Cricetulus griseus: one gene and its partner. The protein of the gene in region 2 purifies or fractionates together with the protein of the main gene of each other region. This does not show direct contact. Links are inferred from orthologs where the notes say so. Each region holds a gene or a part of one and is shown on either strand. Other genes may lie near its edges.

Region 1 (5,761 bases), on a different chromosome or scaffold from region 2:
ACAAGAGATCCCATCTCAGAAAAGGAATGAAGAAACAAACAAACAAACAAACAAAAAACCAAAACAAAACCCCTGGAAAATGCAGTACAAATGAAGAAGCCAGAGTAAGGAAGTTTGTGAGACCAGGGATTCAAAGAGAGAAAAAGAGGCTGTGATATGATGTATGTATTGTAGTACAGCAGAAACTGTCCTTATCCCAATTCTAATGTCCACAGGGAAGCCAGATTCTGTTGGGGGTTGGTCTGTGGTCAACTCAGAGAGTGTTTGTCCACCGAAGCAGGAGCAGTCATGAGATGCACCATTCTTTTTTAACTGCCCACCCTCCCTCCCCTGCAGCACGGGACATTCCAGACCCTCTCGCCACCCTTCACTCCCTCCCCTTGCTCCTGTCACGAGGCCTCAATCCCCCAGAGTCCTTTCATGTGATGCTCAGCTGAGACCCTTCTGCTTCTCTCTCCCAGACCCAGAATGTAAGGCCTGGGCTATATACACCCATATCCACCCCAAGTACAGAAGGTGGTATCAGCTTGGTCTTCCTGAATAGCATATTCTCTCTCTCCACTTTAATTCTCCTATCATAAGTACTTCAGATATCACCTAATCCATTTTACCCATTTATTTTACCTCCTTGGGAGCCCTGTTTCAGCTCTCTGTCTGAGGAGGTCTCAGAATTACTGTTGTGCCTTCTGCCCCTTGAGTCAGATAGGAATACTTCTCAATCCTAAATTTCACACATAAATCTGGGCACGACGGTTTATGTCAGGAATCCCAGTGCTTAGGAGATAGAAGCACGAGGATTAGGAGTTCAAGGCCACCCTCATCTTGAACAAATGAAGGCAAACAAAACTTTATCCTCACGAAATCAAATCAAATAGGACTTGAGATATTCCTACAAGTCTGGTTAGAAGGGGGAATCCCCGAGCAGGTGTTCAACTGCTAATGACACTTGCTCCTGATGACACAGGCGCACTCACCTTCTACGGCCCCCACAGCCAGCAAAGCACTCAGTACAAACAGAGGGAGAGGGCACCTCCTTGGCACATCCATCCTGCTCTTCCTTTCAGCAGCCGAAGGTGCCAGGGGTGGGAATGAGCCCCTATATAGGAAGGGATGCTCATTTGCATAGCCCTTCCTCCCATGCTCTAGAGAAGGGGAAACCTGGGAAGAAGGACCAGAACTGATTTCAGGGTCTGGACGTTCCTTTTCTCAGCCCACCGCTCAATGACAGCTTCCGGCTTCACTGGGGTCACATTCACCCTGACACACACTTTCATTCTGAAAAGAGTTGACTGATGGGCAGCCACAACTCACGTACTGTACTTCACAGCCATTTCAGCAAGAGAGGGAAGCCATGAATTGAGTCAAAGCAAGCAACCCTCAAGACAGATACAAACACCTTTATCTAAAAGCTGTCCGAAGAGGCAGAGTGTACATTCCCAGCAATGAAGCAACAAAACCAACCAATGAACCACTAAAACAGTGAGACAGGATTAAGCTAGGCTGAGAAAGGACTTTGTTATCTAGCCTAAGAATCCTTTACAGTAAGAGCCCTGATCTTGTGCCTCTTACGATAGTACACGGAGGAAGTGCCAGACGATCTCTGCGAGTTCGAAGTCAACCTCAATTTTTATTTTATTTTTAACGCATTGCAGCCGGCCAGGCTGCAATATGAGATACTGTCTCAAAAAGGGGGTGGGAGTGCTGGAGAGACCGCTCAGGAGTTAAGAGCCTATGTAGCTCTTGCAGAAGATCAGAGCTGGGCTTCAGCGTCAGCTCACAACTGCCTATAACTTCAGCTCCAGACGATCTGCTGCTTCTGTGAAAAAAACACACACAGACACACACATAACTGATATATATATATATATATATATATATATATATTATATATATATATATATGATATGTATATATATATGATTTCCCAGGTTTCTGCTTTCCAAAGGAGGCTCTCCTGGCCAGCTAGAATTTAATTTCACTTAAGGGATGGTGAAAATTGTGAGCGGAAAGTAAGGAAACCCTTAGACCACAGACAACACCAGTTCCGGCCGCCGGAGCCCAAACCAGGAACTGCGGGAAAGTTGCGCTGCGGCCACTCGGCTCACCCGCCCAGGGCGGGGACTCGGCGGCGGGAGCGCGGAGCCCGGCCCGCCCTCGTGACGTTGACCAATCCCAAGGGTGGGAGGCGGAGCCAGGGAAACGCGGGAAGGAGGGGCGGGGCCTCGGCTGGCCGTCTGGAGCGGTGGGGGAGGCGGCAACATTGTTTCAAGTTGGATAAATTGTCAAGGGCTGAGCTTTGCTTGCGTTCCATCCAGAGCTGGGGCTGCGGTGCTCACCTTGGCCCCCAGGTCCTCCGCCCCGAGTGTTGGGCCCGCTTTCTTCAGGGTTCCCGGGCCCCGCTCCCGGGGGCCTGAGCCGCCGCACTAGTGCTCCATGGAGAACTTCCAAAAGGTGGAGAAGATCGGAGAGGGCACGTACGGAGTGGTGTACAAAGCCAAAAACAAGTTGACGGGAGAAGTGGTGGCGCTTAAGAAAATCCGGCTCGACACGTGAGTGGCCTCCGGAGCCGGAACTCCTTCCCCGGGACCTCTTGGCTGCCCCCCCCCAACCCCCTACCCCAACAGGCGGGTAGCCGTCCCGGACCGGACCGGAAGGTAGCGGGAGGGACTCCTGAAGTGAGGGGTGGGTTGGCGGACGGTAGACGCTCTCTCTCGGTGACTGTCCGAGGGCTAGAATTCAGAGAAAACTTTCTTCTCGTGCTCCACCCGGTGAGCTCCCAAATCTGCAAGCCGGGAGACTTGGGAAGAGAAAGTGGGGGGGATGGGGGGGGTGAGGTAGGGTCCAGGAGTGTTCATAGAGTTGGGTTATGTACGAACCAGGAGAATAATTCCTTTCTGAATGGAGAGCTGTCCCCCCTGCTCCAGCCCCATACTTAGAACCCTCACCCTCTTTCAAAAGAATGGCAGTTGAGACTCACTGGCCCTCTGGGGAGGCTGGGAGCTACTCTCACCCCCCTCCCCTATTACCTTTCCTCTGCTTCTCATTCACCTGGAGGCTCTACTTACCTTCCACTGGAAAAAGAGGAAATAATGACCTTGAATATGTCTAAAAGCCACACCCCAATTACCCAGGAATAACTACTGACAGTACCTTTCCTTTCTGACTTCCTAAGGGAGTTTTGGGGGGTGGTGTCTCCCTAAGAGAGTATGTTTGTAACCATATTCTCATCTGTGTTTTTCCAACCTCTCCAAGTGAAACTGAAGGTGTGCCCAGTACTGCCATCCGAGAGATCTCTCTGCTTAAGGAACTTAATCACCCTAATATTGTCAAGTAAGTGTAGTCTGAGAGATGACCACCAAGGTGAATTCTGTTTGTTTTAGCCTTAGAATTTCTCTCCCTCAACTGCATTTCCTGAACCTTCTCTTGCAGGCTGCTAGATGTCATCCACACGGAAAATAAGCTTTACTTGGTTTTTGAATTTCTGCACCAGGACCTCAAGAAATTTATGGATGCCTCTGCTGTCACTGGCATTCCTCTTCCCCTCATCAAGGTAACCTTCCTCAATTCCAGCTCAGGTATCTTGGGGAAATTAGAGGCAGGTAATTCAGACTGGTTATATTTTGGCTTGTTTCTCAGGCTTCAACACTCCCCGACCCCTTTTATTTGTGTCTGTTGGTCTCTTCCTGTTCATTATAGTCATTAGCCATAGGAAGGACCGAAGAATCATAACCAAGGTCCTGCGAGCCACCTAGACAGCTCAGGCAGATCAGATACCACTCAGAAAATGGGATTGAGGGTAGTTGGTGGGTTCCTCAAAAAAAAAAAAAAGTTCCACCTGTGATGTGGGAGACAACCAGAACTGTATTCACTCCTGGAGTTAATGAATATCAGCAGTTACATATTTGACACAGTTATTTAACACAGGCATGTGCTAGGCACAGGGTATTGAAAGGGATGCAAAAATTAAGTAATATCTGGTCTTTATCCTTGACAGGCTGAAAAATACAATGAAAGAAGTAGCTATTAAATGTGTGGTTGTGTTGTAAGGTGTGTTGGCTCATGATTGTAATCCTAACACTCAGGAGGCTGAGGCAGGAGGATGTCTGTAAGTACAAGGACACCCTGGCCGGGCGTTGGCGGCGCCTTTAATCCCAGCACTCAGGAGGCAGAGGCAGGTGGATCTCTGTGAGTTTGAGACCAGCCTGGTCTAAAAGAGCTAGTTCCAAGACAGCCTCCAAAGCCACAGAGAAACCCTGTCTTGAAAAACCAAAAAAAAAAAAAAAAAAAAAAAAAAGACAGCCTAGGCTACACTTGTAAGCCTATCCTACAGTTCCAGGCCAGGAAGGCACTATCATAAAAAACAAACAGGGCTGACAAGATAGCCCAGCAGGTAAAGGCACCTGCCTCCAAATCTGATGACCTGATGACCTGAACTCCATCCCCAGGTCCCACATAGTACAAGAAAACCAATTCCTGCAAGTTGTCCTGATTTCCTCGTTTGCACAGTGCCATGCCCCCCCATAAATAAGTAATAAGTAAATAAATAAATAAATAAATAAATATGCAATCTAAAGAATTAAACAAAATCCCCCAAAAATACGTAATGGAGTTATCATCTCACATGATTAAGGCTTTACTGCATTTTGAGGGCAAAGAGCAAGTTGTATCTGTTAACGGTGGTGACTGAACAAACCTTCCTCTCTCCTTTGTCAGAGCTATTTGTTCCAGCTGCTCCAGGGCCTAGCATTCTGCCATTCTCACCGGGTCCTGCACCGAGACCTTAAGCCCCAGAATCTGCTTATCAATGCAGAGGGGTCCATCAAGTTGGCAGACTTTGGACTAGCAAGAGCCTTTGGAGTCCCTGTTCGTACTTATACTCATGAGGTAGGTCCCCCTATGATTTTTCTTCTTTAAGAATCTTAGGGAGATGTTCATACCAGGGCAGGAGTTCCTTGGTAAATAGAATCTCTGACAACCCAAGGGTCTTTTTTTTTTTTTTTTTTTGGTTTTTTGAGACAGGGTTTCTCTGTGTAGCTTTGGAGCCTATCCTGACACTTGCTCTGGAGACCAGGCTGGCCTCGAACTCACAGAGATCCGCCTGCCTCTGCCTCCCAAGTGCTGGGATTAAAGGCGTGGCCACAAACACCCGGCTCAACCCAAGGGTCTTTACCTATTTATTTAAAGTGTCTGAGTAAAGTGCATGTATGTCTGTATTGCATGCCTGCCTGGTGCTCACAGAGGTCAGAAGAAGGTGTCTGATCCCCTGGAAATGTAGTTACAGACTGTTGTGAGCTTTCATATAGATGCTGGGAATTGAACCTGGATCCTCTGCAAAAGCAACAAGCACTCTTAACTTCTGATCCTCTGTCTAGCCCTTAACCAAAGGGTCTTAGGATATGCACTGAATTCATACTATGAGATTACCTGGCCTTTGATACAAGCCAGGAAGGTTGATTGGCATACCATTTAAATGACTCAGATTTTCCAGGAACGTCCCAAATCTGGGGGTTTTGGGATACTCAACTGGGGATGGAGAGAAGGCTCAACAGTGAGGAGCATATGATGCTCTTTCAGGTAAACTGTGTCAGGCAGTTCACCATCACCCTTAACTCCAGCTCCAAGGGATCAGACACTTTCTTCTGGCCCTGAGGACACTGCACAGTTGTGGTATACACAATGCATGTATACACATTATTAAAGTAAAAAACCATAATAAGATCCATCTTAAAAAGAGAGGGTGGAGGGCAGCAGGGTTTTGTTG
Region 2 (5,683 bases):
AAGCCCATCACATGGAGTCAGGAAATGGATCCTAGAACTTGGCTAGGCTAGATTCTATGGCCAGGATGACCATAATGCTGGTACCCAAACTCAAGGAGAATCAGCCACCACTAGTTACCAAGGAGCAATCTAGAAAAGATCACTGAAGATAGAGCACAAGTCCTGGAGGAGGGATCCTGGTTGCCAGGATCCATTACATACTGTCCAATTTGGGATAAACTTCCGTAGTGATTCTCTTTTCATAGTTAAAGCTTCCTTGTTAGAAAGGGCATATTCAGGGCAAGTGAGAGGGCTCAGTGAGTAAAGACACTTGTGGCTGAACCTGATAACCTGAGTTTGATCCCCAGAACCCATACTAAAGGAGAGAACCAATCTCATAAATTTGTCATCTGACCTCTTCTGACCTCCACATGTATGTTGTAGCATTCCTCCCCCTTACAAACAAATAAAAGAAAAAAGTAATTTAAAAGGGTACATTCACTGTGACACCAAGGAAAGCTAGGTGGGGACCCAGCAGCCTTTTCCAATTCTTAGTGTAATACTCTATAACAGACACCTTCTTATAACCCATCACATCTTACCATAGCGTCTCACCTGCAATCTCAGCTGTCTGGCCTGCTGCCTCTGAGACTTCAGTGCTGCCAAGGACAGGAGCAGGGGTAGTTAGCTGGGGACTGCATGGACGAGAGGTTTCTTGGGGTTGAGATAAGGCAGGCTTGGGCAGAGGTGGAGGGGTAGAAACAGCAGGTGGGCTCTGGAGCAGATCCTCAGGGGGAGGGACAGGCACAGCCACAGGTGGTGAACTCCATGCCTCCTTGTTCACTAGCAGCACCTCGATGGGGCCACTCATGCTCTTTAAGTGAATCTGGTACTTCTTTTGACCATTGAGACCCTGGAGGTGGGGGGGCAGAAGATGGGGGACAAGTAGAATTGCAAGCAGGCATGGCTCCTGCCTGACTCTGGGTGAGAGCCAGACTGTCATCCCATTCCTCATCTGCCAGTCCACTAGATAACCCCAAACTCCAGGCCTCCCCCTACCTGCCCCACCCAGAACTTATCAAGCTCCACAGCCAGTATCCACCCTTAGCTGGCACCGCCTTCCAGGGTTGAGCACCTACCTCTGGGATGGGCACCTCTAGGCTGGTGCCCGATGGGGCCCTGATGGCAAGCAGGGTGTCTCCTAGAATGACAAGGAGAATGCATCAGGGCCCAAGAGCTCAATCTGAGCTAGGAAAGGAAGTGTCTGTTCACTGGGGCAAGACAAAAGACCACAGTCTCTAAAAAACTGAATATTAAGCCTCTACCATCCCAAAGCAGTAGGCAGAGCTAAAACTCTCCACCCCAAAAAAACTTATGCTCAGTAACCAGAAAATCCAGTGCAAGCACACTTTCTTTTTCTTCCTTTGAGACAGGGTCTTTTTTGTTTGTTTGTTCAAGACAGAGTTTCTTCATGTAATAGCTCTGGCTGTTCTGGAACTTGCAGTGTAGACCAGGCTGGCCTCAAACTCAGAGATCTGCCCTTCTCTGCCTCCCAAGTGCAGGGATTAAAGTATAGTCACATTCTGGAGTGATGTCACTGGCCATGGGCACCTCACTCCTCAAATGGGGTTGATCCCTAGAAACAGACCTAACCAAGTTTTCCCAAGACCAAGATACAAGATGAAATATAAGAAGTAACAGCTCCTATATACACAGATCAGAAATGGACACCACTGACCCCGAATACAAGTATGTAAGATTGTGCACAAACACACATTCTCCTTTTTCCTCTGTGCCTATATCATGTCTAAGAACCAAACCCAGAAACCTAGGGACACAGTGGGACCCTTGTACCCTCAGTATTGTTGGTCTCTACAGAGTTCCAGTGACTTTCAAACTGAGACTCTGCCTGGTTCTCGCTAAGCAGAGATGGAAACTCTCCTTGAACCTGATGGACACTTAGGGCTCTGTGGTTTAGTTCAGCTCCCACTCCTGCCCCCCTACCCAGGCTCTGCTTACCGGCAAAGCACCTGCAGATGTCTTCATGAGTCACATAGGCCAAGGTGTGGGGGTTAAGGAGAACAGCTGATGCCTTTCTTACTGTGCCAGATGGCAGACCACAGAAGACCCCATGTTTTAGCAGATGTCTGACACACAAGCCCTCAGAGGAATTTCTGGAACCTGGGGTCCAAGTGGGTAAGGATCATGGGCTAAGATTGGAAGAGAAGGGAGCCTCAACTCTGAATCTGACCAGGGGATCATCCTCCCAAAAGGGACAGGGCCCTGAGCGCCACAGAGCAAAACCAGCTGAGGACCCTTTGTCCACTCCCCAGGACAGGGGCTGCCAGAGGATATCAGCTGTTCTGGACGTCCTCTGTGACATTCCGGATGCTCTGCTGCACCCACACCTTGTGCTGGTCAAGTTCTTGCTCCCGCTGCTGCAGCTCCTCGATCTCTGCCTTGAGCTCAATCAGCTTGTCGGCAATCTCCCGGGTATTGCAACCCGGCCCCACACCCCTGAGCCAGAGGAATGAGAAACTGAGAGGGACTGCTGAGAACTGTGGGTCCCATACCTCTGCTCTCTCCTACACACCCGACACTCCTGCCCTCCCTGACACCCCTACTCACTTCCACTGGATGCTGTTCTTGGACTTTTTCTCGATCAGACCAATACCTTCCAACACGTTGGTGATGTCGTAAATCCGCCGTTTCTGACGCACAGCTAGAGTGTCGGCTGCCTGGCAAGTAGAAGAGAATGGAGAATGCTACCCCACTCTTAAGTGTGCACCCTGATACCGTCAGTCTGGAATGGGGGTAGTCTTGTGTCCCATCCCAGGGGTTCCTTGCAGTCACTCCAGCAGTGTGTTGGGAAGAGTCTTGTGTTCTGATATTCTAATGCTCGTTTCCCTGTGCTAGCCACGAGGGCCAGCACCTGCAGCCCCGACTCAGACACAGAGCTCACGCTCTGTGGCTTGAGTGAATGGAAACAGCCTCCCGCCTCTCTCGTGTGAGAAAGCACACAGATGGGGGCCGGCTGTTGGAGGATAGTTCCACTGGGATAGCCCCAGTGGTTCCCGCTACTGGTTCAGGCCTCGTCCACCATCTCCCCTGTCGCCCCTCAGCCCGGGCCGCACCAGCTTGAGGTCAAGCACACCGTCCTTGGCTTCCTGCAGAAGCGACACGAACTTGGTGGTGAGAAGTCCCAGGCTTTTCTCGTGCCTGCTTGGAGTGCCCGGGGGCGGCGGCGCCTGTGGCCCGGCCTCCGCCATCGCGCCCGCCCGCCCGCCCGCCTCCCCTTAGCCAGGCCAGGCCAGGCCGGCCGCGGCGCCACTTCCGCTTCCTGTCTTAGTCGCCGGGCCACCGGCGCTATCACCTCTACTTCCGCTTCCGTCTCATGCCCTCCCAGGGTATCTGGTGCAATTCCTGTTTGAAGATCTGGACGTAAAATTTTGGGGACCATCAGCAAATGTACCTTTAGCAAAGAAGACTAAAGCAATTCCTAGGACAGCTAGCTAGTAGACCTGACAAGTTGTATAGAAGGAAGAGGGGTAGGGTTGTCAGTGAGCAGTCCTGGAGGTAGAGAAGAGGGAAAGAACCACCCGAATCTTCCTTGTTAACTTGCCTCCAAACTACTAACTGCCCGAATCCCCCATCTAGGCAATGGAAGCCATCCAGCCTGATAAGCTTAGCCTATTAAATTAAAACTGCTCCTAAAGGCTTCCTTAGTGTTTTGAGATCACCCATGCCTTCTTTACTTCTTGCCAAAACCATCAAGCACAACTATATCTAGCTTGCCCACTTCTTCCGTCTCTACTCCTCTTTTAGTTCCAGCATCATTTTCCTCTGGTCTCCATGCTACTACATACAGTTCACAGAAGCCAGGAGACTTTTTTACAACCACTTCTCAATCCATGCAAAGGTATTTGTCTATGTGTGAATAGAAGCAACACCTTTAAGACAGCTCCTGACATAGGAAGACCTGTGTGTTTGCAAGTGTCACTTACTTTTTAAAGGTTTTATTTATTTTTATTATCTGTATATGTGTGTGTCTGTCTGTGTGTGCTTTTGTGCACATGTGTGCAGGTGCTCAGGGTGTTTTGGAAGAGGGTGTCAGATCTCCAGGAGCTGGAGTTAACAGGCAATTATGAGCTGCCATGTAGGTGCTGGGAATTGAACCTTGGTCCTCTGCAAGAGCAGAGCTCTGCCCTTAACTTCTGAGCCATCTCACCAGCTGCAAGTCTTTTTACTTTTAACATTGTTATCACTTATTGTTACTTGTTTCTTTTGGTCAGTTCCTCTAGAAAACAAACTCCCTTCAGCAAGTCTATTGAGGATTCATACTTGTAAGAGAGTAAAACAAGCAGAATTGGCAAGACCTAGTTATAAGAGAGCCCATGGTGCTAGCTCTGAAATTGGGATAGTCTTTCTGAGGTGTTTGTGCTCAGCAAGGGTACTTACTTGGGCCTTTGTACATCAAAACCGACTTAGAACTTTAGCCGCAACCCCTCAACAACCTGTACTTCTGGCAGCTAGGAAATGAGTCTCTATTCTGTGGATGGATTTGTGTGGTGCACCAAGTGGCTACTGTACTATTCTCATCAAATGTTGTTCATCACTCCCTGTCAGTTTCAGGAACAATATAACTTTTACGATCCCTGACTGCCCCTCCTCCCACTACACTCTCTCCTCACAACAGGTGCTCATTCCTCCACAGAAGTTCATACCCTTTTCTTCGGGGGCCCATCAGTGGTTCTCATACTGTCATGTTGTTTGCAGCCACATCAACACGTGGGAGGGTCATTTTTCAAACCAGTTTGAGGCCAAATCAGCTTGATATGTGCATATGTGTTTCTTGAGCACATAGAAGTCCCAGGTGGGCTGGTCAAGACTTGATCTCGGGGAGTTCATGCCTGCCCCCACCCCACAGGAAGTGGCTCCCAGCTCTCCCCACCTCATTGCAGATGCTTTTCCTGTTGGGAATAAAGTGCCAGAGACTCGACTTCCTTCCTTTCTGCCTTGGAAAAGGAGGGGCCTTGGAGAGAAGAAGGGGCTTCTGGGCTAGGAAGAAAGGCTTCCTTGGGGAGAGGAATTTGGCTGCTGGTGCCAGAGGAGCTGGAGTCACTCAGGTCCTGTGAACAGTGAGGGTGTGCCCAGCTCTGCAGGAGCAAGAAGGCCATTCTCAAGGCCAAGGCTGTTTGTGGAGGAGGGAGAACTGGACACCGGTCAGATCTGGTAAGTTCTGTACCAAATTTCCTGGGCGTTACAGAACAGAAAAGGGACTTTGCAGCTAGCGTGTTAGGACTATTTGGATACTCTGACACTTGATATCTGCAGAGGCACAACGCAGGACCCCAGAAAGCCAAGAACTCCCAGGTATCCCCCTTCTACCATACCTTCCTTTCTCTTATTTCCTAAAGGGGCTAGGCAAGAACCTCGCTCCTCTTTCTCAGAGGGGCCAAAGGAACATTCACTCTGCCTGATCTACTCCAGGCACTCACCTCATTCCTACCACATATCTCCAGCTCCTAAGGCAGACCATGGACTCAGCAGCCAAGGACAAAATACAGCCCACACTTCTTCCTGGTATGAGTCTTGCTAGCTGGGCTGGGGGAAGGATGATGGCAAGAAAAATGGAAGTAGTGGTGGGGTTGGGTTTTCCTGCTAGGTCTGACCAGAACTCTATCGGAGAGTGAGGAGTGGGCTA

Evidence for each region. Proteins that work in one complex are often made in the same cells at the same time.
Region 1: the proteins of E2f4 (region 2) and Cdk2 purify together in Homo sapiens (affinity purification with mass spectrometry; 4 studies listed by BioGRID and IntAct, with this or other methods). This does not show direct contact. The link is inferred for Cricetulus griseus from reciprocal best matches to the Homo sapiens genes E2F4 and CDK2.

The regions. Positions count from the first base shown.
Region 1 is NW_023276806.1:129,198,240-129,204,000, forward strand, and holds the start of Cdk2 (cyclin-dependent kinase 2), read left to right. Parts: upstream 1-2,433; coding exon 2,434-2,549; intron 2,550-3,252; coding exon 3,253-3,330; intron 3,331-3,429; coding exon 3,430-3,550; intron 3,551-4,713; coding exon 4,714-4,884; intron 4,885-5,761. UniProt on the Homo sapiens protein: Serine/threonine-protein kinase involved in the control of the cell cycle; essential for meiosis, but dispensable for mitosis. Phosphorylates CABLES1, CTNNB1, CDK2AP2, ERCC6, NBN, USP37, p53/TP53, NPM1, CDK7, RB1, BRCA2, MYC, NPAT, EZH2.
Region 2 is NC_048596.1:181,583,894-181,589,576, reverse strand, and holds the start of E2f4 (transcription factor E2F4), read right to left. Parts: upstream 3,286-5,683; 5' UTR 3,249-3,285; coding exon 3,114-3,248; intron 2,718-3,113; coding exon 2,608-2,717; intron 2,518-2,607; coding exon 2,335-2,517; intron 2,043-2,334; coding exon 1,999-2,042; intron 1,181-1,998; coding exon 1,119-1,180; intron 893-1,118; coding exon 595-892; intron 1-594. Other genes in the region: exocyst complex component 3-like protein, read left to right, coding at 5,517-5,562. UniProt on the Homo sapiens protein: Transcription activator that binds DNA cooperatively with DP proteins through the E2 recognition site, 5'-TTTC[CG]CGC-3' found in the promoter region of a number of genes whose products are involved in cell cycle regulation or in DNA replication.